Linked DNA regions of Schizosaccharomyces pombe. Changing the gene in region 1 together with any one later gene gives a genetic interaction. Each region holds a gene or a part of one and is shown in the gene's direction. Other genes may lie near its edges. The genes, in order: rtt106, utr4, mib1 and cbs2.

Evidence for each region.
Region 2: mutations in rtt106 (region 1) and utr4 together harm fitness more than expected from each alone (negative genetic interaction), as found in Schizosaccharomyces pombe (one large-scale study listed by BioGRID).
Region 3: mutations in rtt106 (region 1) and mib1 together harm fitness more than expected from each alone (negative genetic interaction), as found in Schizosaccharomyces pombe (one large-scale study listed by BioGRID).
Region 4: mutations in rtt106 (region 1) and cbs2 together harm fitness more than expected from each alone (negative genetic interaction), as found in Schizosaccharomyces pombe (one large-scale study listed by BioGRID).

Annotation. Positions count from the first base shown.
Region 1 is NC_003424.3:3,244,041-3,251,344, reverse strand, and holds rtt106 (histone H3.3 H4 heterotetramer chaperone Rtt106), read left to right. Parts: upstream 1-3,626; 5' UTR 3,627-3,637; coding exon 3,638-3,719; intron 3,720-3,764; coding exon 3,765-4,388; exon of another isoform or gene 4,389-4,432; coding exon 4,433-4,857; 3' UTR 4,858-5,160; downstream 5,161-7,304. Other genes in the region: ArfGEF Spo7, read right to left, coding at 1-2,747; RNA-binding protein Nop9, read left to right, coding at 6,120-7,304. UniProt on the Schizosaccharomyces pombe protein: Has a role in meiosis.
Region 2 is NC_003424.3:2,683,726-2,690,756, forward strand, and holds utr4 (methionine salvage haloacid dehalogenase-like hydrolase), read left to right. Parts: upstream 1-4,384; 5' UTR 4,385-4,469; coding exon 4,470-4,538; exon of another isoform or gene 4,539-4,591; coding exon 4,592-5,173; 3' UTR 5,174-5,445; downstream 5,446-7,031. Other genes in the region: bcs1 (iron-sulfur protein assembly ATPase), read left to right, coding at 2,681-4,030; SPOM_SPAC644.09 (pyridoxal phosphate homeostasis protein), read left to right, coding at 5,978-6,046, 6,428-6,547, 6,683-7,018. UniProt on the Schizosaccharomyces pombe protein: Bifunctional enzyme that catalyzes the enolization of 2,3-diketo-5-methylthiopentyl-1-phosphate (DK-MTP-1-P) into the intermediate 2-hydroxy-3-keto-5-methylthiopentenyl-1-phosphate (HK-MTPenyl-1-P), which is then dephosphorylated to form the acireductone 1,2-dihydroxy-3-keto-5-methylthiopentene (DHK-MTPene).
Region 3 is NC_003421.2:833,997-842,387, forward strand, and holds mib1 (DNAJC11 family protein), read left to right. Parts: upstream 1-3,488; 5' UTR 3,489-3,608; coding exon 3,609-3,662; intron 3,663-3,723; coding exon 3,724-4,937; exon of another isoform or gene 4,938-4,987; coding exon 4,988-5,408; exon of another isoform or gene 5,409-5,465; coding exon 5,466-5,595; exon of another isoform or gene 5,596-5,598; intron 5,599-5,641; coding exon 5,642-5,661; 3' UTR 5,662-5,965; downstream 5,966-8,391. Other genes in the region: aah3 (GPI-anchored glycosyl hydrolase family 13 protein), read right to left, coding at 1-1,664; spore wall alpha-1,4-glucan synthase, meiotic Mok14, read left to right, coding at 5,966-8,391.
Region 4 is NC_003424.3:3,804,452-3,811,911, reverse strand, and holds cbs2 (protein kinase activator), read left to right. Parts: upstream 1-3,209; 5' UTR 3,210-3,241; coding exon 3,242-3,277; intron 3,278-3,340; coding exon 3,341-3,464; exon of another isoform or gene 3,465-3,518; coding exon 3,519-3,877; intron 3,878-3,924; coding exon 3,925-4,081; intron 4,082-4,136; coding exon 4,137-4,465; 3' UTR 4,466-4,780; downstream 4,781-7,460. Other genes in the region: SPOM_SPAC1F12.04C (uncharacterized protein), read left to right, coding at 271-846; tma19 (translationally-controlled tumor protein), read left to right, coding at 1,878-2,384; phosphomannomutase Pmm1, read right to left, coding at 5,063-5,749, 5,982-6,068; meu1 (protein meu1-1), read right to left, coding at 6,958-7,251, 7,325-7,460.

The DNA of each region.
Region 1 (7,304 bases):
AAACCGATATCGCTTGGTAAATTGCTCCACGTTGAGAAAAGCAATTTGGCAAACGTTGATCGGTTCTTCTTATATTTGAGCCAATGCTTTTTGTCCTCCTTCGACAAAATACAAACTGAATCTGGAGATATGAGAGGACGAAGTTTCTCGAGAGCATATTTCACAAAAGTTTCCATCGGAACGACATAAGAATTGAGCTTTTTAGAATAGGTTGATTTATGTAAATCAATTAAAATCAATACTATTTTAACAATAATGTCTTCATTTAAAAACCCATAATTACTATTTTGCTTAAGCCAACAAGATGCGAAGACTTGCAAAATAGGAGAGTGTATGTAATCATCCGAGCCATAGTAAAGATCACAGCATAATTTTTGAAAGGAAGCGTAAACATTTAAACTTGAAAAGTCATAGTGTGATATGAATTTTACATACACATTTTCATATTCAGATCCCAAACTAGCAAACCAATCTGTAAAATTGTACGACAATAGCTGCTTCTCTAGCAAATTCCGTAAGCAATTGGATAAATTAATGGGGTCCTTAAACTCTGAATTGTGACATACCTCGAACAATTTCAGTTGAGAACGGTCGTGTAAATTCAAAATAGTTAAAAGTGATCGTGGAACTTTAATTCTTGGATTGTTTTTAAATTCCAAAGAATTGGGAGTTGCTATTTCTTCGGAATTGAGATCACTCTTGCTATCACTTATAAGCAAAAACTCTTCTTTAAACTTTGAAGCGCTCAGACCTTCGTTAGCAAACGTTTCATCTTCATAATCTTGTAGGAACGTTTCCTGAATATCCATAGTTTTGACATCTGGATTCACAAAAACTTTTTCGCCAACCTGCTGACTATTTATGCGTGAATTGCGTAAATTGCGCATCTTGCGAATTTCTTCAGCTGCGTTTTCATGGTGAACTGACTGAGACTTAATCTGACTTTGCAATTGTTGAATATAGCTACGTTCATCATGACTAAGATGCTCTCGGTCATCCAATAGTAATTTTGAAATTGAAACTAGACCTTCGGGGGTTTTGGGTGAAGAAAACCGATTTTCACGCAACATTATTTCGTTTGTAATACCAACCTCCGAAAGCACTGAATAATACGCAACCAACGATTGTTTTAAGCAAGAAATCTGCTTTAGTGGTATTCTTTGGAATCTTGAATAAACTAACGCAAATTGGTGTTCCGCGATGTCTAAAGGGTATTTCCTGAGCAAAAGTTTTGCTAATTTGCAAAAATATAGGCGGTCAGAAAGATTTTCAAGTAAATACATTTTGGGATCAGCATTAGCAAGCTCATTTTTAGTGTTAAGTTTCGATACCTGTATACGACTATTGATTTTGTGTTCAGTAGCGTTCAAAGTTCTTGGATGAGGGTTCAACTCTAAATTTTTTTCCATTTTTATGCTCGGGTGTACATTACCATTTCCAGCTAGACACGCTCTCTCAATTTTTGAAATAACTTTCTCTGATGGATTAACTACCTTAGATATGCTGGAATGGGATGTCGGTTCAACATTGTTTATCGATTGTGGCATGTAAATATTTCCTAGTTGTTTGGCTAGTTGTTTAACATGACCCTTGGGAGGAGCCTCAGATGTCGGTGCCTTTGTTGTAGGAGCCTTTGTTGTAGGAGACTCTGCTGCAGCCAATGCTTGTGGTTGTACTGAATTAGAATCTTGGTTCATTAGTAGCGCAGTCTTTTCCCTTATCACTTGCAAAAACTTCTGAGAAGTTGTCAGAACTGAATCACCGACTGACACTTTTGGTGGTACTTCCATTGAACCATTTTTAGCAGCAAATAGGTTTATAGCTTCCTTTATTCTGTTACATTTTCTGGTGGAAGCCCGATAATTAGGACCTAAATTAAAGGGATTCTCTTCTAAAGCATTTGTAGTATGCCCTTTAGATAAATTTGAAACATAGTCCCTTTTTCTATTTCTCTCCCTAGCTAGCTCGATCCTTGCTCTAACATTTTCCCCGGAATACTTCCCCTGAATCCTCCTCTTAGCAGATAAACTAATTTTTTTTGAAGGAAATATTTCCTGAGGAAAATTGGTAACGACTATCGGAGGCGGCGTTCTTTGGCGCTTTTTAGAAGATGGAAGTTCTTCTTCATAATCTTTCAAATCACGTTTTAATGAGTAAGAACCAGAGGAAGCTCGTACGCCGTTGCCGAACATGGATTGAGAAGGATGAGAGTTTACGGGTTCACTAAATATTCGTTTAGGCTGAAGGCTTAAATCAGAAAGTTCACCATTTGTTCGAGGACGCCGGGTTTTAATAAACGATTCTTTGTTGCTTAACTTGCTTTTAACGTTAAACATATGATTGTTTTCAGCCAAGATTTTCTCAGACTCCACAGAATTGGCATTGGAATTGAGAAAAGAGCGACGATGACTTATAAATTCCTGAATCTGCTTCAAGCGTGTCCTTCTCTGAGAAGATTTGTCTTCTCCAGAAATATTTTCCGTTTTGCTTTTAGCGCCTTCCGTATGCAAATTTTCTTGACAAATTATTCCCTTTGATTCCTCAAGTTTGCAAAAATCGGTTGTAACTTTAGACCGCTTCAACTTCGAAAGCAACGCTGAATGCTTTTGGCCGGAAGTATAGGTAGGCTTTGATTCTCTCACAGGACGACAAGTGATGCGACTATCATTGCACGATTCCAACTTTGCAATTTTTTCCGAAACACTTAAGCTTGTTGGGGAAGATCCTTCTGTTATTCTAAAATCCATTCTACCTTTTTCGTGGATAATTATACAATTGATTAAAAGAAATTAATAGTTATGTCGGAAGAACGCTTAAAAAATACAATATGAATATAGGAATTCTTTCAATCGGTTGATCGCGAAAGCAATTAGGATAATTATGTAAGTTTTGTAAGGACAATTATCAAAATTGTTTCCTTAAATATTTATACAAACCGTCAGTTTTGAGGGAGGTTGAGGGTAAAGGAAAAATAGGCAAAACAAATAGCTTATGTCTTAAAACACCTCATTGCATTAGACCTAGCGAACAAACTATTTGTTTACGTTTGTAAATGTCAACACACGTTGATTACATCGGGAACAACATAAACCAATAAAACGAATTTTAGGATCATTTAATAATTTCTTTGACAAAATCGAAACAATAACAACTTTAAGGGAAACCATATCCGATTATAGGAGCAACAATCTGACCTTCCCAATGCTGAAGAAAGCTAATCAGTTCTACAGCTGAAATTTATCTATAGATCGCAAAAAGAATCAAAGGGAAAATCGATATCGTTTCACAAAATGTTCCCAACTTTTTTGGACTTTTCATACGAAAGTAACTGATACGATAATAGAATGAGTTTTTATCTCATTTATGTAAAATGACTACCTTTGTTGAGTAAAATTGAGCAATTATAAATTAAGCATATTCATATTGATCCATAAAATAAAAATTTGTTGCTAACATAAAGTCAACAGCGAACCGAAGTTTGAACGTAACCACTTGGGATAAAATTTTTATTGGATCGAAATCATTTGCATGATAATGGAAATAGTTGCTATTACATTTGTTACTGTTAGCTGAGGTGTGGTGTGCTGTCGAAGCCCTTGTTTAAGACTCAATAAATTCTAGCCGGCAGCCATCTCTAATGGAGTCCAACGTGAACGATGAAATAGAAAAGGCATTTGCCAAAGATTCTGAGTTAGCAAAAGATATAATCAAACAATATGGTAAGGTTTGAGTACATGCTTTTTTCCTTAGTCTAATGAAATTAGGGAAAACAAAAAGTATACAGCCTCTAGTGCATCGAATTTGCAAGTACATCAATACATTGCAAAAGGAAAACGAATCAGGCCAAGTGAAGGAGGCTGGAAGTTTAAAACGAAAGGATCGTGTTCAACATGAGTTAGGTCAATTGGTCTATGGAGTACTTAATCTATCGTTTCAGGCACCTATGCGAAAAAAGCTAGACGTCTACATTTATGAAAATGGAATAGCAGTAACATTACCAGGCGAACCCAATTTAATTGAATTTTGGCTTCCCTGGAATGAAATTCGTTGTGCAATCCATGTCCCATGTCCAAGGAAAGCTAATGTTCAAAACAACTTTGTGATCATCCTTAAAAGTGAATCGTCGGCAGAAAATATTGTTTCAAGTGATAATGTAAAAGAACCTGTCTTTTTTACGGCACCGTATCCTTTGAAAAAGCTCAACCTCGTTGAAGGTTTACGATCCTTCACCCACTGCACGAACTCATGGGATATTTTTCGCGATTACTTTGAGTTTATTGGCACTAGTACTTTGTCTCCTTCTGTCGAAGAATTTGTTTGTCCAAACCCGCAAACGGGGGACAATGGCACGACATATGGGGTTGAAGCAAACTATAAAGCTAAAGATGGTATGCAAAGGATGAATTCTGTGTCAAAATTGCTAATCAAATAGGGCATTTATTTTTTCTGCGTACTGGCATACTATGGGGCTTCCGTAAACCTATACTTTTCATTGAACTAGCTAGCATCCAGCATTTTTCCTATAGTAATGTTTTGCAACGAACATTTACAGTTAATTTTGAAGCTGGTGGTACAATATATTCATTCGATATGGTTGATCAAAGTGTCTTTAGAGCAGTAAATGATTACGCGACAAAGCATGGACTAATGGACTCCAGTCTTGCTGAAGAAAAAGCTGCACCAGTCCCTAAAAATCCATCTGTTTCATATTTGAATGAGGCATCATCTCTTGAAAATGTTGATGATATGGATGATATTGATGTTAAAGAACCTTTATTCTCTGATAACGACGAGGATGTCGAAAACAGCGACAGCGAGGACGGTAGCGAATCTATCGGTTCAGAGGACGAAGAATAGAAAGTTGAATGTACATAAATTTTTTTCTGTTTTATTTATTACCAGTTTGTTTTAATTTAAGGATTTAAATAAATTTAAAGTCTTCTAGCAAAAGGTTATCTGTGAGCTATCCAAATTTGTTTTAGACTCAAGTTATACACAAAGTTGTCGCAGGATACATTTTTTGTTGATAGTTTAAAAAGTGTGGATCTGGACTTTGTGTGCTAATCAATAGATTTACGCTCCCACTTGTTTGAGTTTTCTCAAAAATTACCCGACCAACATGTAAATATTTTCTATAATACTAATTTATGAAAATTCCTAATTACCTTATTCGATCTGCCGCTCTTAAAAAAGGTATATAATGTAAATAGCGGTTATTTAAAGTTCCTGATGTTCATTTTAACAGAAGGGTAGCTGAGTTTAAGCAAGAATTACCTGAACTGCCCATAATTTAATTCACAATTAGCATAAATCTTTAAAAACTCTTTCACGAGATTTTTTAATTATTTTTTTCAAAAAAAAAGACGACTATAAGTAACTAATTGTTTAATTTTTTACATTAGTTTTTTTCTTTGTCAATAAATTACTAAAATCTTTTTCTGAATGTAAGAAATTAAATAATTTAACAATATATCAACTCATCGACTGTTATTGAAGGATCTTCTTCTTAAAAAGAAAGAAAATTAATTTAAGACAATAGAAATGTTTTTGATTGATATTAATGATTAGCTCTTCTAAAATGCTGTTGCAATTTATCTAATCATTATTTATTTACATTTTAGTTAAAAAGCTATGTTCATAACGTACGGTAAAAAAAATAGGTGACACTTACGCAGTTCAGTGTCTTTTTTAACGATACGTAAAACCCGGTGATAATTCTTGTGACCTATTATATTATAATAAGTAGGTTAATAAGCGCTGACCAATGTAGGTATTATATATATGGGTCAAACTGTTACCTGTCACTAAATAGTGCTTATTACTGTACCTCGTTTCTCAGTTAAGTTGTAACTCTATTTATAATCTTACTGATAATTTTTCTAGAAAAATATCCTAGTAAATAAGAGGATAATGTCCGCAATGATCAATACGCGGATCTAACTGGTATTCTAATATATGACATATAGTGATGAATACCCTAATGTAATATAGCGTAGTGTAGTATTGCTTGCACAATAAAACTTTATACCCCCATGCGTTATTAAAATTAAAGAGGCATAACAGAAATTATTTCCAACAAATTTTCGAATCCTATAATGCTAATTCAATCCTAGAGCAAAATGCCAAAAAAAAGAAAAACGCGTGGTAAAAAGCACTCTGCCAAACAAAAGGAGGAAGAAGTTAATTCAGTTGTTTCTCCCGGTATTGCAAAAAACGATGAAGGCGCTGGAAATGATGAAGGTGCATATCAGGTAAACCGTTACACGAATGAACCAGTGCAACCGTTTTTTGGTGCTTTGGACCCCGAAGAAGAAAAATACTTCCAACAAGCTGAACAGGCTTTTGCCAATCATTTTACAAGAGAAAACGAAGATACCAGGTTTTTTGTCGACAGCATTTATCGTGAGGTGCAAGGCAAAGAGCTAATTGTCTGCAACAATGTGTTCGGATCGAAGGTTCTTGAAAAGCTTTTCCCTTTATCAACGAGTAGACAAATCAAATCGTTTTTTTCTGCATTGAATGGTCATTATGTGGAGCTAATTCAGACAACGTTTGGCTCTTATGCTTTCGAAAAGCTGTTGAGTCACATGGCTGCCATTCTAAATTTGGAAACCCAAGGTGTTACAGAGGATCAAGATGATGTTTTGGAAGGTGAAAATGAAAATGTCTTCATGACAGCAGAAACTTTACTTATGTACATGTACAATGAAATACGCCCAGAGGTTTCTATGCTAATGAGCCATAAGTTGGCTGTTCATGTATTGGGCAAAATTTTCCTTTTGCTTGATGGATATCGATTCGTGTATCATGATGGAAACAGAACCACTATGGAGTCTATTTCTGTTCCCGAATCCTTTCCCCAGTTTGCTTATTCCATAATTGATAGTGCTACGGACAACCTCGATACCCCAGAACTTCGAGCTTATTGTGTTGATAAATATGCGAGTCAAATTATGAGAGCGTTTATACGTATAGACTTTGAGCGCTCAAAAAAAACAAAAAAGAAGCACGATCCACGCTTAGTTTCCAAATTGTTACTATCTAACGAGTACGATTTAAAAGAATTACCGTTTATGGAAACTTTGTTGAAGGACGAAACTGGCTCGCGTATTCTGGAGGTCATCGTTGAAAACATGTCAGCCTCTCATCTACTCAGATTTTATGCCGTCTTTGAAGGACGTTTTTATCGGCTTTGTGTTCATCCTATAGCCAATTTTATAATGCAACGTTACATAAGAAGGTTGGGAAGGAAGGAGATTGGTTCTGTCATTGATGAATTAAAGAAGAATACAGACAACATCATT
Region 2 (7,031 bases), 560 kb from region 1:
CCGATCCTTCACCTTTAACTATCGGTAATCCAAGTTTGATTATCGAGCAAAGATGTGGTTGGTGCTTGGACAGATGGATCTACTTGATTGCTTGATATTTTTCGGTGTCAGTTCGTTACGCTAAAATGACTAAGAAAAATGAACACAGCCTCGATAAACAAATATCATCAGTGCGATCCAACAGCGGTATTTGTCTGAGTTTCTGGTTTACATTCCGAGCCACATGAAAGATAGGCGTTACAGGGCTCGGGAATGCAGCCGAAGCCGTTCAAAGTTGTCAATAAAGAACGTTTGGTAGAAGTGTCCAACAGCAACGAAGTGTTGATGACTTGTTGCCAATGATGAATTTCTTCACTATTGAGTTGGACTTTGGAATGTGAGTGGTCGTACCAACAACTACGGGTATATGGCCTTATTGCAGTGTAAGATTATCTCATTGTCATACAAAGTGGGCAACTTCATACGCAAGGCGTGGGTTTCATGAACACACAAAACGAATCGAGATGATCATCGTTGGATACTCGCTTGATGCAGCTGCTAACGGAGATGCACAAAGCAATCGAACTTTACCATGACATATCCGAAACATGCTAAGATCTTGTTGATGCATTCGTTGACGTTTTTTCAAGATGTTTCGTAATTTCTATACCCCCGGGTGGAGTGGAGCTGCACTTACGAAAGGATAAGTTGAAGGCTGATTTTTCACATCCCTTCTTTGCAAAAGTTTCCAAAGATGAAAAGTGGAGATGCTATTACGCTAGCACAATATTCATCATCATCTGATCTGTTGTATAAAACTTTTTCATTTCATAACTTATGAAGTCAATAATAGTTTTTGAAAATGGGATTTCCTAATTTAGTCAATTTTGTGTTCCACGTTGCACGATGGTTAAAAACGGTAATTTACACTACTGCAACATAAGAAGGACTTGTAAGATATAGACATTAAAAAATAACCTCCCAAGGCGAGACTCGAACTCGCAACCTTCTGATGACCATCATAAGAGTCAGACGCTCTAAACCGATTGAGCCACTCGGGACTTGCTTGTATTGTGTTAAATTATGTACAATTATATAATAAAGTCTTTAAACAATGAAAGGCATTGAAGGTGTTCAGCTTGAATGAATTCTTTTTAGTATGTTCATTGATCTCGAAAGAAAAAAGAAATGAAATGAAAAACTCAAGGTTTGTAAGTATAACTTTTTTGGTTTTGAAAACGCTTGAATATGATGTTGAACATTGATAGCAGGGTAACCAGTATATGTAAATATAAATGCATCTTGAAAAACCTGTATAAGAAGTGCAAGTGGGTTAAAATACATTGATTTGAGTATATAAAGAATTTCTTAATGTTTTGGCAAATTCGAAGACTTTTCCTTTCTTAGCTTTTAACAATGACTATTTCTTTCCTCCCAAGTTCTTTGTTGATGTTTCTTTGTTCGCCAAGAGAATTTTCTTTGTCAAAATCTTTGATCTTTTAAAGAAAGTGTGCATATACATAATCACCAACTCAGTTCAAAATACAATTTGAATTTCATACTAAAGTATGCCCAATGATTTTAAAAGTCATTAGTTTTTTTCCAAAGTACGATCTCTTACGAATACCTGTAAGAAAATTAATATTATACATCAGCCTCGATTTAATTATGTTTTGGATGCAGCTTTAGTTTTTAATTATATTCATCAAGTGCAAAATTGCAAATCACTAACATACTTGCAAGCGTTTTTTCTGCCATGAAGAATCGGGATGTATATGTTCTACATCAATTACTTATCTTAGTGTGAAATGCAAATTTATATGCAGTTATTTTGTTCTGAATATTTATTATATGCTACCATCATCAATGTGATCAAGTCATTAAAAAATTTATTTACAGGCTCTAACATTTGTATCATTTCTAAAGTCCAGATCAAGCGACCTCGGAAGAAATTTTTTCTTAATTACTCAATTGCTGTCACTGGATAGGTTTGATATGATACTTTACTTTTGATCTTAGATTTCCAGACTCGCAACAATTTCTAAAAAATTGGGTAGTAAACACACACATGTAGGCTGGAAATATTAAACACTAGCAAGATGCATCCTTCCAACATTTTACATAAAATATTTCAATGTCAAAAGTTAAATATTTTGCAAAGTTACTCTCTCTATTTCAAGCAGAACCTTTCAAGCTGGTATTAAAAGTTTAAAACAAACATTAACAATGTGAAAAACAGTTTCATGTAATTAGCTTTATACTATTCTTTAGTTCTAACATATCTATTTCGCTCCTATCGGAAGTCATAGACTTTTGGAATTTCTTAGCAAAGCACTAAATTGTTGGCTACATGAACCTCACCCAGAACCTCGTTCATACCAAAAACTCCTCCATTTTTTCTCAACATTCCAATAAAATTGGATTATATAATTTCTTCATTGAACATTTTATTTCTTTTTTGTTTGAAACCTATCAATTACTGGTCATTTTGACATATGCGTTTTGACATTTGATTTACTACAATATTTTGTTATACATGTCCTCCGTAAAGAATTGATTATATTCATAAAGGTTTAATTGTTTCTATGAATTATTTATACCAAAAATTTCCTTTATATGCAAGAAACCGCTATCGTTACGTTGAAGAATTAAATTAATATTAACTTTCCTCCCTTCTTCTCATCGTCTTTCCACTTTAAAAATGGATAATATAGGTGCTGCCGATGCAGCGACGTCTTCTGGCATTTCTGGGTTACTAAGTGGAAATTCATTTTTAGGTGCTGGTATTGGTTTAATGGGTTTCGGTGCTGGGCTAGCCATATTACGTCGTGGGCTTATTTCAGGAGCAAGCTTAGTAAAAAGAAGGATGCTAGTGTCTGTCGAAATTCCAAGCAAAGAAAAAAGTTATAATGCCTTTTTGCATTGGATGAGCACGGTGCCTAAACGCTATTCAAATCAGCTGGCTGTTGAAAGCAACAGACAACTCAAAATGCCGCAAAATGCTAGGGAAAAACCTGACAAGCAAGTTGCAAATCGTATATTCAGCCTCGTTCCAGGTCCTGGAAAGCATTACATAAAGTACAAAAAGTGTTGGATTCAAGTAGAACGAGAGCGTAGCAATCGTCTGCAAGATTTAACAACTGGAACACCTTGGGAGACAATTACTCTTACCACTCTTTCAAGAGATCGTGGAATTTTTTCCGAACTTTTATTAGAAGCTCAAAAATTCATGCAAAGTGCTCAAAAAAACAAGACTACTATATACACGGCTTGGGCCACTGAATGGAAGCCTTTCGGGCACCCTAGATCAAAAAGGATGCTTTCTAGTGTTGTACTTGAAAGCAATGTTAAAAAAATGATTACAGACGACGTTCATGACTTTTTACGAAATTCACAATGGTATGATACAAGAGGAATTCCATATAGAAGAGGCTATCTTCTTTATGGACCTCCTGGAAGTGGAAAAACCTCATTTTTATATGCTCTTGCAGGTGAATTGGACTACGACATATGCGTTCTAAACTTGGCTGAAAAAGGCTTAACTGACGATCGTCTCAACCATCTACTTTCTAATGTACCTCCCAAGGCAGTAGTTTTACTGGAGGATGTTGATTCTGCATTTCAAGGTAGGGAACGATCTGGGGAAGTTGGGTTTCATGCCAATGTTACATTTAGTGGGTTGTTAAATGCACTCGACGGTGTCACTTCATCAGACGAAAGGATTATATTTATGACAACTAATCATCCTGAAAAGCTTGATCCAGCTCTCGTTCGTCCGGGCCGCGTTGACGTTAAAGCATATCTTGGAAATGCTACACCTGAACAAGTTCGCGAAATGTTTACTCGCTTTTACGGTCACTCCCCAGAGATGGCTGACGATTTAAGTGATATAGTGTGTCCAAAAAATACAAGTATGGCTTCATTGCAGGGTCTTTTTGTAATGAATAAGAGCTCACCTGCTGATGCTGTTGATATGGCTAAAGAGCTTCCTGATAATCCTCCTAGTACACCTTTCTCCTTTAACGTACACAGAAAGTCTTTGTCTGTATGAAATCCCTTAGATTTATTTAACTTAAAATGTTATTCGTTTCGTAATAAGCTCTACTTATCAATCTTGACCACAAAAAAAAGACATCTTGGTAGAAACATATATTGTACGCGATTAATCTATGAATAATTAATGAATTTAAAAAATGGTTAAAAAATAACTAGTCCGTATTTTCTATTCTAAAAGACAGGCATGCATAAGATAATTATTCAAATGCATGTTCTCAATAAAAAGCTGCAAGCTGTTGAAATTCTTTTTCCATATGTTTAAGAAAGTAAAATCCAATAAAATTCCAATTGTAATCTTAAATTATTTTACGTGATGCATAGCTGAATTCGCAAAGTACTAATCCTACTTACTGCACATCTTACTTCTTTAAAGTTGCATAAAACTTGTGTCCTAAAAGAAAAGTGAGTTGTACGGCATCTCTTTATTACAAAAAATGGTTAAAAATTTGCTCTTGGATATTGAAGGGACTGTGGGTAGCATTTCATTTGTCAAAGACAAATTGGTAAGTGAAGTTTTTTATTGAGAACAATGTAGATCGTGTTTAACCCATGCTAGTTTCCATACGCTGCTTCAAGATACGAAAGTTATGTTAATGAAAATTATGAAAGTGATGAAAACTTGCGAGAACTTGGAAAAACGCCTGAAGAGGCCTTGATAAATTTACGAAAGTTGCATGCTGAAGGAAGCAAAGAACGTTCCTTCAAAATGGTCCAAGGTCGTATTTGGAAAAAAGGTTATGAAAGTAATGAACTAACTTCACACTTGTTCCCCGATGTTGTTCCTGCTATTCAACGTAGTTTGCAATTGGGAATGCGTGTTTACATTTACTCCAGTGGGAGTGTTCCAGCTCAGAAATTGTATTTCGAGCATTCAGATGCTGGAAACCTTCTAAAGTATTTCTCTGGATATTACGATACTACTATAGGGCTTAAAACTGAGTGTGGCAGTTATGTGAAAATTGTGGGAAACTCAAATCCTAGAGAATGGCTCTTCTTGAGTGACAATATCAACGAGTTGAAAGCTGCAAGAAAAGTCGGGTTGCACACCGGTTTGGTGGTTCGTCCTGGCAATGATCCTGTTGTAGACACCAGTGGATTCCCCGTGTACAATAGTTTTGAAATTTTGTTCACGGAATAAAGCAATGGTGAACCCTAACGACCGTTTCGCTTAGAACAAAGTAATGAGTTTCTTTAAAGGACATGAGTTCTTTAAAAGAATTTTGATTCTCTTGTGCTCTCATTTTCTATTTCTTTGTGTTTTTTTTTTCATGATTTCTTTGAATACATCCGAAAATTAGTCAACGCAATTTCTTCTCTTAAAATATATTGAATTATTATAATTTTTTTAACCCAATGGATTTTTGAATTGTTTCAGAAACCTTTTTTAACTATGAAACTTTTTTACCATGATTGAATATTTGTATCAATTATCTAAACATTGAGTAAAACACTCTTGTAAACTCTCCATTCGTTCAATCAACTATTTGAACTGAATTTTTTTTTTTTTTTTGATAAAATAGAAAAAGAGCGTTCTTGTTTAATATTTTCCTCTCCTGTGTACTCATTGTAAAGAAGAGAGGTTTGTCAATCAACATGGGTTACAATTCGTCGGTTTTGTAGCCAAATTAACATTAATCCTTTATTAGTGATTTCTTTTTAAATGTTTCTTAGCCATTAATGTTTATTTATTTACTTGTTTCTGTGACATATAATATCATTACCCCCATTTGGTACCTCTTCCTCCCACTTTGATCAGCAATTACTCTCTGTAAGCTTCTCCAGGTTAATAAAGTCAAGAAGAGACTATAGCTATACCCCCATATAGTACTCTTTATCCCACATTTTGTATCACTCAAAATCAATTTCAACTAAGAGACCTAAGCAGAGTAATTTAACTGTCAGGTGGATTTGACTAAGAAAGTAGTAATAGCTTTCATTCAACATGAGTACTATCCATAGCTGTTTAGATTTAATTAGAAGTCAAATCCAGCAATCTGCAAATGGCCGCAATGTAAGTTTGTATGAGTGATTTTGGTTGTTTTTTCGGGTACTTGGTAAAATTGAATTTCGGATGTCTGATCTCCAGGCGAATAAAGTCATACTGCTCAGCTAATAAGCTTCGTGAAAGATTTATTTAACTCGACGATATAATACTTTATTTTTAGGCTTATAATATTTAAGGAAATGATGCTTCGCCGAGAATAAAATGTTGCAAAGATATCTTCGATTAAAATGGGTTTATCTGAAATAGCGTTGTTTATGTCAGCTGAGGTGAAGGAAAAGATCTAAAAAAATGAATATTTTCACTTTTACATTTTTGGGATTCCCTAAAAATCTTCCAATTTCGCCTGCTGCTTTATCCATCACTAACAATTGCCTTAATGGCTTTTAGGTTCTTCTTGTAGCTGTTAGCAAGTTTCATCCTGTTGAAACCTTGATGGAAGCGTACAATGCTGGTCAAAGGCACTTTGGCGAGAATTACATGCAAGAATTTCTAAAGAAAGTAGAGTTGGTAAGTGCTAGAATGTATTATGTGTTTTCGGTAATCTATTTTTTGATGCCTACCATCTTTAAAAACACTTTTTTAAGTTAGATAATAAGTGGTTCTCATTGTTTATTTCCATTCACAAGGCTAACAGTGCCATAGATGCCCGACGACGTCCAATGGCATTTTATCGGTAGTTTACAGTCATCTAAGTGCAAGAAAATTGCATCTGTAAAAAACTTGTACAGTATTGAAACCATTGATACTGAAAAGAAGGCTCGTTTGGTAAACAGCGCTCGTGAGGCATTACAACTACCCTTAAATGTCTATATTCAAGTAAATACCAGTGGTGAGGAGAACAAGGGAGGAGTTACTCCGTCTAAAGTTCTTGAACTCTGTAAGCAAGTTCAAGACATGAAATATTTGCGACTCAAAGGCCTCATGACTATTGGCTCTATTTCCAATTCTCAATTATCTGATCACAACCCAGATTTCCAGGTAAGATTATTTC
Region 3 (8,391 bases), on another chromosome or scaffold:
ACACCCAAGCCAAAAACTAAAGTCTTGAAAGAAAGGATAAGTCTAGATGATGAAGAGATCGTAAATATACTACCAGTACCAGTAAATGATCTGGCAGAATAAGAAGGAGAGTAATAAGAGGTATAGACAGTGGTTGTGGCAGTTGCCGATGTAGATGGCATGACTGTACGATTGACAGTTGGTAATGTAAAACCAGACATCTTCGAATGTGGATACATAATCAAGGGATATCCGTTGGTCATACTGGCAGTCAAGGTTTTATCGGCACCAACGGTTAAAGTTCTGTGACCGAAGACATCAGAGACTACTTCATTGGCAGTGTAATTCGTCTCAACTTCATAAATTGTAAGGTTGTTGGTAACTCCCATATTATTGAACATGACGAGAACATCATTTTTTTGTCCAACATAGTGATCAACAGCAGATTCGATCGATTGATATGTGGAAGTGACCCAATCCGGATCCTGAGTAATGACAAACTTTCTAAATGCAACCATCGTTTTAATAACGGTATAGTACGGGTTTGATTGATCGTAATCAGTAAGCCAAAGTGCAGGACGATTAGCAGGATCCTCACCACCATTGAATCCCTGTTCTTGTCCGTAGAAAATTGAGGGTATGCCGTCCCAAATCAACACAAATGACAAAGCCCCCATAATCTGTGACTGGTCACTTGTGTAATAAGGAAATCTGTACAAATCGTGATTTTCGATAAAAGTCAACATTAAAGTACTATCATATTTTGAACAGTTTGAAGCCATTACCTCCTGGTAAGTGGGAATAAGAGTGAATCCAGCACCAGTAGCAGTAAAAGAGAAGTTTATGTACAACTGCAAAAAGTAATTGGTAACTCCAGGAAGGACACTCATGTAACTACACATAGTATCAGGATCATAAGAGAAAACTTCACCAACGCTGTAAACACCCGTAGCATCAACGAAATCAGGAAAGAATGTGTAGTTCATCATTTTCACAGCATCAATACGCAGTCCATCAAAATCGTATTTAGAAATAAGACTTTTGAAATGATCACTCAAATAGGAAGAAACGTCTGAACTTTCGACATCCAAATCGGCCAACAATACACCAGAATCTTGCCAACAATCCATTACGTTCGTCTCATTATCTGTGATATCCCAATCAATAAGACAGTACGGATGGAAGTAGCTCTCCTTGTTAAAAGGATTAAGAGATGAATAGTCAGCATCTGCTAGCGGAGGAGCAAGTGCCATAGAATTGACGATACTATCCAACATTACCCAGATACCCGCTTTATGAGCAGCAGTAATAAGGCTAACTAAATCATCTTCTGTACCAAAGTGTTCATTGAGGGACTCATAATCAGTGTTCCAATAGCCGTGATAAGCATAACCAGCACCGTCGATATCTCCTTCAATATTTTTATCAATGGGAGATATCCAAATCGCATTGAAACCCATATCCTCGATGTAATCCAGTTTGTTCTCGATACCCTTCCAGGTACCACCACAATACTGGTTTGCATCCGGATCACATGGATTATCCGTGCTTCCATCATCAACCGCGAAACGATCCGTCAAAATTTGATAAATAATACGTTTGCGCCACTCAGCATTACTACCAGCATTAGCAACATGAATGAGGGCGCTTGAAAGAAATAGGAGAACAAAATAAACACCAAACATGCTAAAAAAAGGTATCAAGGGGTATTTAAGCCAAGACGACTAAAAGAAAGAAGTTTGGGAGAGCACAAAAAAAATTATGTTTTGTAAAAGTTAATGATATGAGCCAAATCCCACCAAAAAGAATGACAATAAAATACTAATAATAAAGGAGTGGAAATTGTGGGTCAAGAAATTATCAATGCAGTACCAGTATTGAATAAACAAAAATCTATGAAGAAAGAAAGCGGAAGTGCAAGAGCCGACTTTACGTCGAATGAAGGGACCACGTTAAAATTTTTCAAATGTACGTCCGAATTGACGCTAGTCTCCTTAGAAACCTTCGTTTTCTTGCAAAAGATTGTAAAACCTGTTTAGCGGTGTAGTTTGTTGAAGGATGGATACGCTGGTAGCAACAAAATACTAGGCGTAGGTAAACAATCTAATATATCAGCGTTCGAATCCGGCTGCCATCACATTTTATTTAACCCGTTTAGCAAATAGATGAGGTGCTTAATCAACAATAACGACGACAACCTCTGAGCTTCACGAATATGCTAAATTTATAGCGCTTCACTAAATCGTATACCGGTTCGCGCTAAATAAAAACTGATGCTTAAATTCAAATTTCTGTGTTAGTAAAAGAGCAGATAAAGCGAGGATAAAAATGTAGGATGTTGATTAAGACTCTAAATAGAGTAGCGCAGAGAATAATACTAAATACTGAAAGACCGATCCCGTTAAACTAATATCAAATCCATAGCATCAAACAGAGGTTTGTATTATGTATCCTATGAACTATCCTCATCAATAATTGCTTATTATAATATAACATAAACATATACAACTTTCGTGTAACTAGCCAAGGACTACTATAAGTAATATGGTTTATTCATACAATGCTAGTTCCTATACCTATAGAAATTCGTTTCCTGCTGAGCTTATTTTAAGCTATGGGTAAGCGAGTCAAAAACCAAAGACGCTATTTGTAAAATGGCAAACGAAATTAGGTATTCTTGTTTTAATTATAAGCTTAAGAGACATTTGACATCTCGTTGGTAGTAATAGAAACTTGTTTTTTAACTTGTTCCATTCGCTTTAATGATAGCTGCACTGCCCTTGGTACTTTATTCTTGAAACTTTTTAGATTTTTTATATATCACAAAGCTTTTTCTAGTTCACCATTCTCAATTTTAGTGCTTCCTTAATCTAATAGTTGGTTTTGTACGCTGAATTGGTTTCGCATTTAAAAGTGCATTAGTACGTTTTTGAGAATCAAGTATAAGACATTTCAAGTAAATTGAAAAATTCCTGTCAGTAATACTTTATATCTAAGTCAAATGGTGTCATCTGATAATAAAATCCCTCAACAGTATTATTTATCAAACGAAAAATGTCATTAGTCATGAAAAGCTTCATTCGCTTATTTGTTTTGAAATTAAGAATGAAAGTTATGACTACATATCAATTCATTAAGCTGATATCTTTAGTATGCAATCCATTATTTTATACCATCTCCACTTTTTGTAAATCATTAAACATAATATCTAAAGCCAATTTAGCATTATTCAAATTCGAGACTTATTATTTTAAGTTTGTCTTAGAATTTCATAGTTTGCAAACTGTGTAAAATGAAATACGCATGGGTTTGGCAATTATACAAAAAGCTGCTCCCGAGCACAATTAGTTTAACTAGTAAACTCATGCTTTTCGAAATGGCATCAAAGCCAAGATAATTTGATCATATAAAGTTTTATTATTTAAAAGTTCCTATATTAAAATACTGCTATAGCTCACTCTAATCCTACAACCTACATCAAACTTTACATTACCTTGGTCACTTATAGTGAGCACATACCTTGATCATACATATGTCTGCACGATCCATACTCTAATCTGTGGTTTCTGAAAATTTACACGTAAATTAAGATAATTTGAAGTAATTTATTTTAAAATAAAAGATTAGTCATGGATGAAGCGGATTCTTGGGAGCTTTATTTGGCTCTTGGACTTCCCAAAGATGTAAGTATAAATAATCTCATTTGGGAATGCATATTTTATTAACATTTCCTTTAAACTCTAGGCTACAAGTGACCAAATAAAAGAATCATATTACAGACTATCAAGACTGTTTCATCCTGATCGTCACACTGCTGACCAGAAGGCAGCAGCTGAGGAAAAGTTTCAAATTATACAACATGCTTACGAAGTATTATCTGATCCATCAAAAAAAGAGATTTATGACAATTTTGGAGAACAAGGATTGAAAACAGATTGGAATGTTGGATTTCCAGGGAAATCAGCTGAAGAGCTTAAAAACAAAATAAGGGAGCAAATTCAGGAAAGAGATATCCATGAAATCGATTCTTTGGTGCAGAGTCGTTCTGAGACTACGATAGTGGTCAATATGACCCCCTTGTTTGCCAGAAATATTCGAGTTCAGAATGCTCTTGGTTTAGGTGCTGGTACTAGAATGCTGACCCCTTATGAACGATTTTCCTTAATCCAGTGGGTATCTTTTCAAATTAAAAGCTCTTTCTCTATTCCAACATCGTTTTCCAATGACCTCAAAAAGCCGTCTTTCAATTCTTTTTCCTCAGGCTCTTTTGATGATGAATTTTCCGCGCCTTCAGATGAAGATGAAGGCAACCATAAAACATCCTCTCGTTTATCTATAGTCACTGAAGCATCAATGAGACAAAACTCAAAGCTTCAACCTTCCATTTTTGCCGTTTATCATTCTCAGCCCTCTCCTAACCTTAGTTCTGAAATTGGATTTTCTCTTTTGAGGCCAGGTTTAATTACCGTCAAGTCAGTGTACGCTATCAATAACCAAACTTTTATTGTCCCTCTTATTCAAATATCGGGTCTAAAGCGTCCCCCGCAAGCCACCGTAGTCATCGGACGACAAATCACTCGCTTTGGTACTCTTACAGCACGCTGGAAAACTGGTGTGTGGTCACTTGGTTCTTGGGGAATTGCTTCCCCTCGTGGAGCGAATTCCTCATTTTCACTTACTTGGCAGCAAATGAAAGCTATTCCAAATAGTTTGGTCCCTCAACTCAGTTGGAACGCTGAAGTTACTGCTGGTTTAATGTATAGCGGTATTGCTTACAACTATAATTTAAAAAATGCAACTGAGGACTCACCATATCAAATCAAACTCGGGACTTCGATGAGTACAGTAGGAGGTCTTCAGGTTTCCGGTGATACGAGTCGTAAAGTTGGCCGTTATTCAACCTTTGGAGTAAATATTTCAGTTGGTGTCCCAACTGGCTCTATTACGTTTAGTCTTAAGTATGTTCATTTCTCGATTTCTTCTCAACTACAAATACTAATTTTTTTAGTTGGTCACGCCTTGGTCAAAAGATTTCTCTTCCTATTATGTGGTGTAGTGTGTTTGATCGTTCTGCAGTCTTTTGGGGTCTCGTATTTCCGATTACTTCTATACTTGGAGTTGAGCAATTTTTCCTCCGTCCCAGGCGACTTTCCAATCAGAAAAGACTGCGCTTATTACGATTACAAAAACTTAAGGATTCTCAAGAACGCAAGAAAGTTTCTGCAATTCGAGCTGTTAAATTGATGAAGGAAATTGTAGAGAAAAAACAGAAATTGGAAATGGAGAAAGGCGGTCTGGTTATTGAGTATGCCGAGTACCGAGTCGTTAATTGCGGTGCAAACGAACCTGATTTAAAGCAAGATGTGACTATATCAATTGCTGCTTTAGTTGAAAACTCTCGTTTAGCTATCCCTTCTAGTGTTTCAAAGGTAAAACTATGTCGCTTAACATTTCATTTTTGTTTTGATTGCTAACTGTTGATTTAGTCGTCAATTATCGGAATATATCCATTATTTTCTGACAATGAAAAAGAATTGGAAATTGTTTATACTTTTCATCAGCAGCGGCATCGTGTTGTTCTCCGTGACAAGCAAGGTGTTTTTTTGCCTAGTCGAGGTATGCTCTCATATAATCATATTAAACATGTATTAACATCCACAAGAACACAAAATTTTGTCTTAAATGATACGTCTTTATTAAACAATCATTGTTTACATTTTCGCTAAATTAGCTCCTATCACATTTTTTTGTTTGTTTATGTTTTGGCATTTTTGAGTATAAATATTACAACGATTGATCACCGTCTTCCCAGAGCATAACCCTTTCCTTTACTAACACAAGTAAATTTATATTTCTTTTGCTTTGGCAAAAAAGATAATAGCTTGCTTCAAGGGTGACTTACTGTCGAACTTGTTCTCATCTAGCCGGGTTGCTATTTGTGTCTTAGGCACATTTCCTCTTTTGGAAATTTTGATAGAAAATCAGGATGAATATAAAGAAAAAGAGCTTTCTCTTTCAATTTTTGTTCGGATGGATTGTACTGTCTTCGGCTCAATGGCTATCGGTTTTGGATGAGGCAGAGAATTTGAACTCTTCTTTTTCATTAGAAAGTGTTGATTCTTTTGCTCCAGTAAGACCAAGGTTTATAATCGATGAAGACTTTGCTGAAGATTACAACCTTACTGTTGATATCTTGCATCGTCCACTTCAGGAAAATTTCGATTCTTTCTTTCCAAACGTTGAAGCGTATGTTGAAAGTGGAAATTCTAATGGTGATTTGATGAGCGACAATGGTAAACTAGATGATTTAAATTCTCGAGCGGCCTATTCTGCCCTTAAAGCCCTTCAAAACTCTTATGGATCATCCCATCTTTATCGCTTTACACCCTATGAATTGTTTGGGCAATCTATTTGGATTGAAGAAGCACCTGAAGTGAATCATGTCGGTTGGTCTATTATGTTCGATAACCTTGGCCGTTACTTTTTACTAGAGTTGCGCGGTCTACGCGAGGTTACTTTTGCTTTGTTTATTACTTTTTCAATCGTTCCTATTATTACAGGAATCCTTACTGTTTACATTTACAAGAAGAAATACTGTGTCATAAAATTCAATAAGTCCGGTCGTTCTAAGAAGAAGGATAGCTGGTTGAAAAGGTCTAAGGATGAATTACTTCGTACGGATAGCGCAAATCTTCTGACTTTGAATGATAATGATGAGCCTGTAATGATTAGACATTCATGTAAAAGGACGTGCATTCTTTTCGCAACACTCGAATATAACATTCCGGAATGGAATATAAAAATTAAAATTGGAGGTTTAGGAGTGATGGCTGAATTAATGAGTAAGACATTAAAGCAGTATGATTTGGTTTGGGTCGTTCCTTGTGTGGGAGATATCACATATCCAGTGGCTGAAACTGCTCCATCTTTGGTAGTTAAAGTGGTTAACCAAGACTATGAAGTGAAAGTTTTCTATCATTATAAAGACAACATCAAATATGTTCTTCTCGACTCTCCCATATTCAGAAAGCGGACATCACACGATCCTTATCCTCCTCGTATGGATGATATATCTTCAGCCATTTTTTACAGTGTTTGGAATCAGTCCATTGCTGCTATAATACGTCGTGAAAAGGTTGATATCTATCATATTAATGATTATCATGGTGCACTTGCTCCAATTTATAATCTTCCAGAGGTCATCCCTTGTGCAATTTCACTCCATAATGCCGAATTCCAAGGTTTGTGGCCTTTACAGTCCAGTATTGATGAAAGAGAGGTTTGTGGTTTATTCAATGTTTCCAAAACCATTTGCAGAGAATACATTCAATTCGGTAATGCTTTCAACCTGATGCATTGCGGTGTTTCTTATGTTCGTCGTCATCAGTCCGGTTACGGAGTAGTTGGTGTTTCTAACAAATATGGCCAACGCTCATGGGTTCGATATCCAGTTTTTTGGAGTCTCAAAAAAATTGGACAATTGCCTAACCCTGATCCTACCGACATCGGTTTGAGTGTTAATCCTGTGAATCAACAACTTCCTGACTTTGCAGAATATGCTTCGGTAAGGAAGGAAAACAAGAGAAAGGCACAAGAATGGGCCGGTTTGACAATCGATGATGAAGCGGATCTTCTGGTATTTGTAGGTAGATGGTCAGTGCAAAAAGGTATTGATATTTTAGCTGATCTCGCGCCAACCCTCTTAGAAAAGTTCAACATTCAATTAATTGTTGTTGGGCCTCTAATTGATTTATATGGTAAATTTGCGGCAGAAAAGTTCATGTACATAATGGAACGTTATCCAGGGCGCGTTTTCTCAAAACCCGAGTTCGTTCATCTACCACCCTTCATTTTTGAAGGAGCTGACTTTGCCCTAATTCCTTCTCGTGATGAACCTTTTGGTTTAGTCGCGGTAGAATTTGGCAGGAGAGGTGCTATTTGTATCGGCTCAAGAGTCGGAGGTTTAGGAGAAATGCCAGGATGGTGGTATTCTGTTGAATCTAGCTCAACCGCCTATTTACTGAAACAACTTGAGAAGTCTTGTACTCTGGCTCTAAAATCAACTCCTGAAATGCGCCATAAACTGAGAATCGCCGCCCTTCAGCAACGCTTTCCTGTAGATGAGTGGGTGGCATTGTATGACAGACTTATACGAAACTGTATTAAGGCTCATAACAAACAGCAGCAAAGAAGAAGCATAAAATCATTTTTCAGTTGCATTACACCGAACAAGCCTACTAAAGATGTTAACGATATTTTATCCGAAAAAAGTGCATTTTCTCCTGCAGATTATGAGCACTCTATAGATATTAGAGAACATACATCATATGATGCCAATTCAATGGATAATGATTCTGATGAAGATAATTATGAACAAGCAGAATCAATTATTTCATCACTAAGTAGTTCAGC
Region 4 (7,460 bases), 560 kb from region 1:
CAAATCTATTGGTGTACTAAACAGACTAGCTAACGTTTGCTGATCCGATCGACTATAGCAGCACACTCACTCTCTATACCATAAGACGTTGCCGAACCGACATCTATCGTCATTCAAATAATCTTTGGATTTGGTAATTTTAGTCGTTTACATACGCTACTTAGTATTTTTTTGGATTTTACGCTTTTCTACTAAAGTATACGAAAATTAGACTACCTTTCGTGAACAATATAATTGACCAAATCTTAGAGCTGAAATTTTTTGAGAAATATGTCTTATATGCATTCTTTAAACCTGATGCTGCAAAATCCCAGCGGAATTGACAAAATTGCTGCCATTCTTGTCAACGTTGCGAGGTTGGATCCAGCATCTTCGAAATCAACTGCTCAACTGGTTTCTATGCTAAATGAATTTCGATGTATTTTACGTCTTCCTGGTCTCTACAAATTAATCGTAAATTTTCGTAAAGATTCTTCTCCTGAAACTTACATGAGTAACGCAATCAATATTGGATACTATGTCACAGAAGGATTGGCATTCTTAGGCGGCAAACAGATTATTTCCATATCAAAACCGTTGGAAGACAAATTATGGCTTTGGTCTTCTAGATTTTGGCTTCTCGATACTTTATTGACCATTTACCAGCTTTTGCGTGAAAAAACAGAAGACGAAAAGGAGCATCAGTTAGACTTAGCTTCAAACTTGGCTAGCCTTCCTTTGTGTATTCACTGGTCTGTAGAAAATGGAGCTGGTTTACACAAACACCAAATTGGAGTTCTTGGTCTTTTCAGCGCAATTGTACAAACTAGAAAACTAATCCTCTCTTTGCACAATAAAAGAGCTTAGTTACGAATGAGCTTTTTAAATTTAAATAGAAGTTACTTTTTTCATGTAATTCTATTCGTGCTCAACTATTTTTCGTTTTCTCGAATGTCTATGTGAGTAAAGTAGTAAACAAAAGTGGTAACAGTCGTCTTGGTTTTTTCAGCAAAAATCGAAATATGCCATTCTAAATGAAGGGACTGAATCGGTTTAAAGCTTGAAAGGTTTTAGAAATGAAGTCGATTTTAATCGTTAATCCATTCCATTAAAGCGTTTTAAATTTTGGGATATTGATCGAAAATTTAATCAACGGAAAACATTAAGTTACTCTTTGTTTGTCACCAAAATGTACCTTGTCATTTTTTTCTAATTGAACTGAATATCTTTATTAACGAGTGTTTTTAATGGCCCTGCAATTTCAAATTGAGGATGTACGATATCATACTTTTAAGTATATCATATATAAACGTTAAGGAATTATTATCAACTATAATGCACTACTTTTTTAGGTTTCTTCTGAAGCTCAGTACTGTTGAGAATGTTCTAATTACGACTCAAGAATTGACGGATAATAGCTCGAATAATAAATTTGAGGCGACATAAATGGTTACAAGTTGATTAAAGAACATAGAGATTAATACACATACTGTTAAATATGGTTCAATTGTTGAATTCATTTGGACTTTAATTCCAGCTTTAATCTTAATTTTACACGCATCATAATGGTTTCACTCAAAAAATCAGATTCAGTAATATAAAACAATTTACTACTGACTGAGTACAACGATATTTTCATCTAAAAAAAAATCTGAAAATATAAAGAATATTGTTATTTAAAAGAAAGGAGAACAGACTACGACAAATTGAAAAAAATGAAGGAATTGGTAAACAAAATGTATCTATCGAAAACAACGCTGTACTACGTAAAGTGAATACTGTTCGTAACCGCATTCCATACGGATGGCTAGAATCCAGTAACCCTGCCCTAAACTGTGACTGCTTTATCTCATTAAACCTGCGAGAAGTCAAATTATGAGCTACCATCTGCAATCACCATGTTGTTGTACAAGGACGTTATTTCTGGAGACGAACTCGTTTCTGACGCCTACGACTTGAAGGAGGTAGACGATATTGTCTACGAGGCTGATTGCCAAATGGTCACTGTCAAGCAAGGTGGTGATGTTGACATTGGTGCCAACCCTTCTGCCGAGGATGCTGAGGAGAATGCTGAAGAGGGTACTGAGACTGTAAACAATCTTGTTTACTCTTTCCGTTTAAGCCCTACTTCTTTTGACAAGAAGTCCTATATGTCTTACATCAAGGGTTACATGAAGGCTATCAAGGCTCGTCTTCAAGAAAGCAACCCCGAGCGTGTTCCTGTTTTCGAGAAGAATGCCATTGGATTCGTCAAGAAGATTTTGGCTAACTTCAAGGACTACGACTTTTACATTGGTGAGAGCATGGATCCCGACGCAATGGTTGTCTTAATGAACTACCGTGAGGATGGTATTACTCCCTACATGATCTTCTTCAAGGACGGTCTTGTTTCTGAGAAGTTCTAAATGCAAATTTGGGTTCTTATAAGGGAGTTTCTAACTGGGAACATGATATCATGTCTAAATTTTATAGTTTTGTGAATTAGTTTTCACAAAATTTCATTAGGATTAGAACAGGGGTTTTTGTTCTGATAATAATTAATTATGCTAGCTTATAATCATGTTCAAATTGAAATTAGTGTTTTTTTATCGATTTTGTATTTGGTTGAATGGAAGATTGAGGTATCGATGTTTTAAAACGTGTGTGCTAAAATTCATGAATCTATTTATATATTAACAGGCCGAAATAATTTAGTAAGTAAGGATATGGTTTGAAATTTGGTATTTTACCATTAATTTAGTGTATTTTTTTGCTTTTTATCGAAGTTGATAATTCAAGTCCTTTACGAGGAATAGCCAAACTTTTGTTATGGCGACACTAGACGACCCGGTAGCCATTGAAACTTTGTTACAGTCGAAACTATAGTTTACTGTTAGTACTAAAGATTTGGGAAATTTTTGCTCGACGATGTTATTTTTGTAGCGGACGACTATTGGATTAAATTTATGCTTAATTGTTAAGCCTTTTAATCAATCTTATCATTGAGTTAATAGACTAGTTGCATTTAATTTTGTCAATGTATATTGTTACGTTTAAATAGTAAACTATATAAGCAGTTTAAATCAACGAGTTTAGCTACAATATTCCCCTAAGTGAAATATATCATTTAAAAGCACTAACAAATACGCATAATTTAGGCATTGTACTATTTGCAACTAATTACTTAACACCTCGATTTGTTGCCCTTGTGCGGGTTACCATTCCCCTCGCTCATTTATCTAGTCTCTTTTACCAACCACACCATATATCCTTTGACGAGGTCATGACAGACGTTCAAGAGACCCAAAAAGGAGCACTCGTAAGTGATATGGAATAGATTTTTTATTAAATAGAAATAATTATTAATCTATGTGATGTACAGAAAGAAATTCAAGCATTTATACGCTCGCGTACAAGTTACGATGTTTTGCCTACGTCCTTCCGTTTAATCGTGTTCGATGTTACGCTTTTTGTAAAAACATCACTTTCTCTTCTTACATTAAACAGTACGAAAGATTTTTCATTACAGATGTGAAATCAACTTATTAATCACGTCTTAGATATCGTCAGTGCTCCTTTATGGGACAGTGAAGCGAATAAGTTTGCGGGCCTTTTAACGATGGCGGATTTCGTCAATGTTATTAAGTATTATTACCAAAGCTCTTCATTTCCCGAGGCTATAGCTGAGATTGACAAATTTCGATTGTTGGGACTTCGTGAAGTGGAAAGAAAGATTGGCGCCATTCCTCCGGAAACTATATATGTTCATCCAATGCATAGTCTTATGGATGCTTGCTTAGCCATGTCAAAGAGCCGTGCTAGAAGAATTCCTTTAATTGACGTAGATGGCGAGACAGGCAGCGAAATGATTGTATCTGTTTTGACACAATATCGAATTTTGAAATTTATCTCCATGAATGTTCGTAAATCGTGTTATGTTTTTATATTTACTAATTTCAAATTTAGTGCAAAGAAACCGCAATGCTACGGGTACCATTAAACCAAATGACAATTGGGACATGGTCAAATTTAGCTACCGCGTCTATGGAAACGAAAGTCTATGATGTTATTAAAATGCTTGCCGAAAAGAATATATCTGCCGTCCCAATCGTTAATTCTGAAGGTTTGTGAGATGTTTTGAATTTTTTCTGTGAATAATTTATATATTAACTGAGCAGGTACCCTGCTAAATGTCTATGAATCGGTGGATGTAATGCATCTTATACAAGATGGTGATTATAGTAATTTAGACTTGAGCGTAGGCGAGGCTTTATTGAAAAGACCAGCTAACTTTGATGGCGTCCACACTTGTCGAGCTACTGATCGTTTGGATGGTATTTTTGATGCTATTAAGCATTCCAGGGTTCATCGTCTTTTCGTGGTTGATGAAAACTTGAAGCTCGAAGGTATTTTATCTTTGGCTGATATTTTAAATTACATAATATACGATAAAACGACTACGCCCGGCGTTCCCGAACAAACTGATAATTTTGAATCTGCCGTATAATTTGATTCTCGTGCGCTTCAGCCTGAATGCATTCATAATCTGTTGAAAACATTGCCAAGTCTCATGATATTTGAAGTTAAACCGTTGAGTTGTTTCTTTTTTTTTGCATGGCAGCTCGAGGTGGTATCTAATTCAGTGTACTCGAATGAGGCTTCTTTTATTTCAAAAAGTATTAATTCGGTTATTACAACTTCTGTCTATATAATATGATGTGACTTGTACCATTATGCTAATGCCTATCTAATTAAATAACTAACACATGCCTTTCATTAGCTACTAAGTTCGCATTTTTCTAGGAATGCATCAATTAACCGATCGTAAGTGTAATTTTCTTGTAAATATTCTTTCATATATGCATATTGTTCAGGTATGAGTATTAAAAGCTGCGTTGGCAGTAGATTACAATAATTTAATGTTCTTCGCATTCCATGCTACCAATAATTATGGAAGATGTACGAGTTAAATGACAGATCAATTGTGTGCAAGAAACTTCACACTCGCCGAGCATATGAAGTAGTTATTTACAACTAAGAAAGCTAACCTTTTCCGTAATGATAAGAGAGGGACGCATATCTAATCAACACACTACAAACTCATCTATATGTTAAAAATTTTCTTGAGTTCAGCAATGGTATCGTCAGGATTAGTAACAGAATGTCCGATAGTACGAGGGTCGACAAAAATTTCATAATCATTGCCGCCTTTGTATGTCTTGTCTCCAAAAAAGTGAATTGTATCAAATCCCTCTTTCTCTACGTGTTGCAAGCAATATGTCTTATCCCAACCAGCAGGGAACACATCAAAAGAGATTTGACCTCCAATGGAAAATGTCAATCCATAATCCTTGAATTTTTCGCGAAGAACATCGACCATGGTAGCGCGAATTTTACGACCCTTATCAAAACGTTCAAATTCATTGCGTTCCTCAGTATTGGCATTGCGTCCTACAGGAGATATGTTGATCATACCGTTGCGGAATTCAATGAAAGTACCACGCTTCACGGGAATATCCAGATCAGCAATGTAATGTAAGCAGAAATTAACCAGTTTTTGGTATTTTTCTTCTCCCAACCAGGCGATGAATGACTGACTAGCTAATTGCTGTCCATAACGATAAGCAGTTAATCCGTTTTCAGCAAACGCATAATCAAAAGAATCAATTACGTTTTCACCGTTGACACTCAGTTGCTCTTGTTGCTTGCTCAAATCACTACCGCCTACGAAGCCGATAGCGACAACCTTGCGAAGATTTTGCAAAGTTTCGAGCATTTCAGGGGAGACACTCTTTAAAATGTTAGTCTTGTTATTACAAAATGGAAAGAGAAATAAACTAGGTCATAGAGCATGAATAGCTTGCTCCCGAAATATTTTGGATAATTAAAACTTCCTTTCAAGCCATCTCTGATTAAATAATGGTGATGACCATAGAGAATGTGATTGGAAAATAGGAAATTTGATACAAGCCGGCTATTCAGATTGAATCCAAGAAAGCTCGACTGCAATAATCTAAACTTACCAAACGTGCAGGAGTGAGCGTTCCATCAACGTCAAATAAAACTAGGGTCTTAGGAAATTTACGCTCTTCAATAGGGATAACTGCCATTTTGAGAATTTGGTCGAAGGTAAGTGCAACTGGTAGTGGTATGGTGGTAACGCGTCGATGAAGCCCCCTCGATCAAGGTAAACAATAAGCCCCCTTCTACCTTCAAAGCATTAGACACTCTTACAACAAAATTTTATAGCAAAAACATTCATAGGAAGGTATATTATATTAGCTCTACAATATCATAAATGTTGATTTCAGGTACCCTTGTGTCGTAGGAATTTGAATTAATCAATCGGGATTTTACATAGAAAGTCGTATTCGCACAGAAAAATATTTCAAAAAATGTGTTTTTGAAGATATTTTTATCAAAACTTCATTTTTTTCTATTTCGTGTAGCGCGTAACGTATAATGAAAATAGACGCGTGTGAACCCGCGGTGTTTAAAAAAAGTATTTTTATAAGATGGATGAAAATGGTATGAAATCAATATTTTGTTTTAAACTTTTAAACATTGAAACGGCATTCTGCAACTCTACAATTCCTCGTACTCCGTGAAAATGGCTTACTAGATGTAAATTATCAATGTTCCAATTATTAAAAAGCCGAACATTTAAAACACATGTAACTTTGTTATTCCAATAAATCTTATTAAAATATTTATTTAATAGAGAAAGATGTAGATGAAGCAACAGCTCTCGGAGTGTCCTTGCCATTACCATTTTAATGAGAGTTTCATAGTTTAAAAGACAATGAATAACAGGTTTAATCTTTCTAGCTCTCTAATCTGGTAGAAATTTGGGTCAAGGTTTTTATGTTTAATCATCCTGGATTTATTAGAGTCAGACAAAAGCCATAATTTCTAGTCTGGCAGCACAAGTCCACGCGTACTTAAATTCCAAGATGCTTTCTTCAACTGTTATCTTTATGCGGACTAACCATTTCAAGATTATAAATGGAAGATATGCTTGATAAGCTTTTTTTTGTTTAACATGTTTTTGAGATGCTTTGATCGCTTATCAGTGGTTTCATAACAACAAGGAAATAGATCTAAGTTAGCCGGTCTTGCATTTACAATGAATCCGGGAAGCATATTTTTTTCCTCCTCAGTGTAAAACAAATAATAACGCATATCTTCAACTTCGTAAATATTTGATTGATCCTCGCAAAAATAGCCCAATTCACTATCGCTAATGGCATGGGATTCGTCTTCAACATTAAAAGAGGCATCTAAAACATTATTCTGGTTTGTGTTTTGGTTAAGTTCTTATTCTTTGAAATCCTATTGAAATATTGCTTTATGAATCAACACTTACAGCCATGCCTTCAATATATCCATTGGTTTGCAATGAGTTTCTCGGTTGAGAAATTTTTATATTGTTGACGTTCTCTTTATCCTCCTCAGGAGAAGTTTGAAAAACAGTTGGCGAGGTTTCGAAGCTAAACATGTAG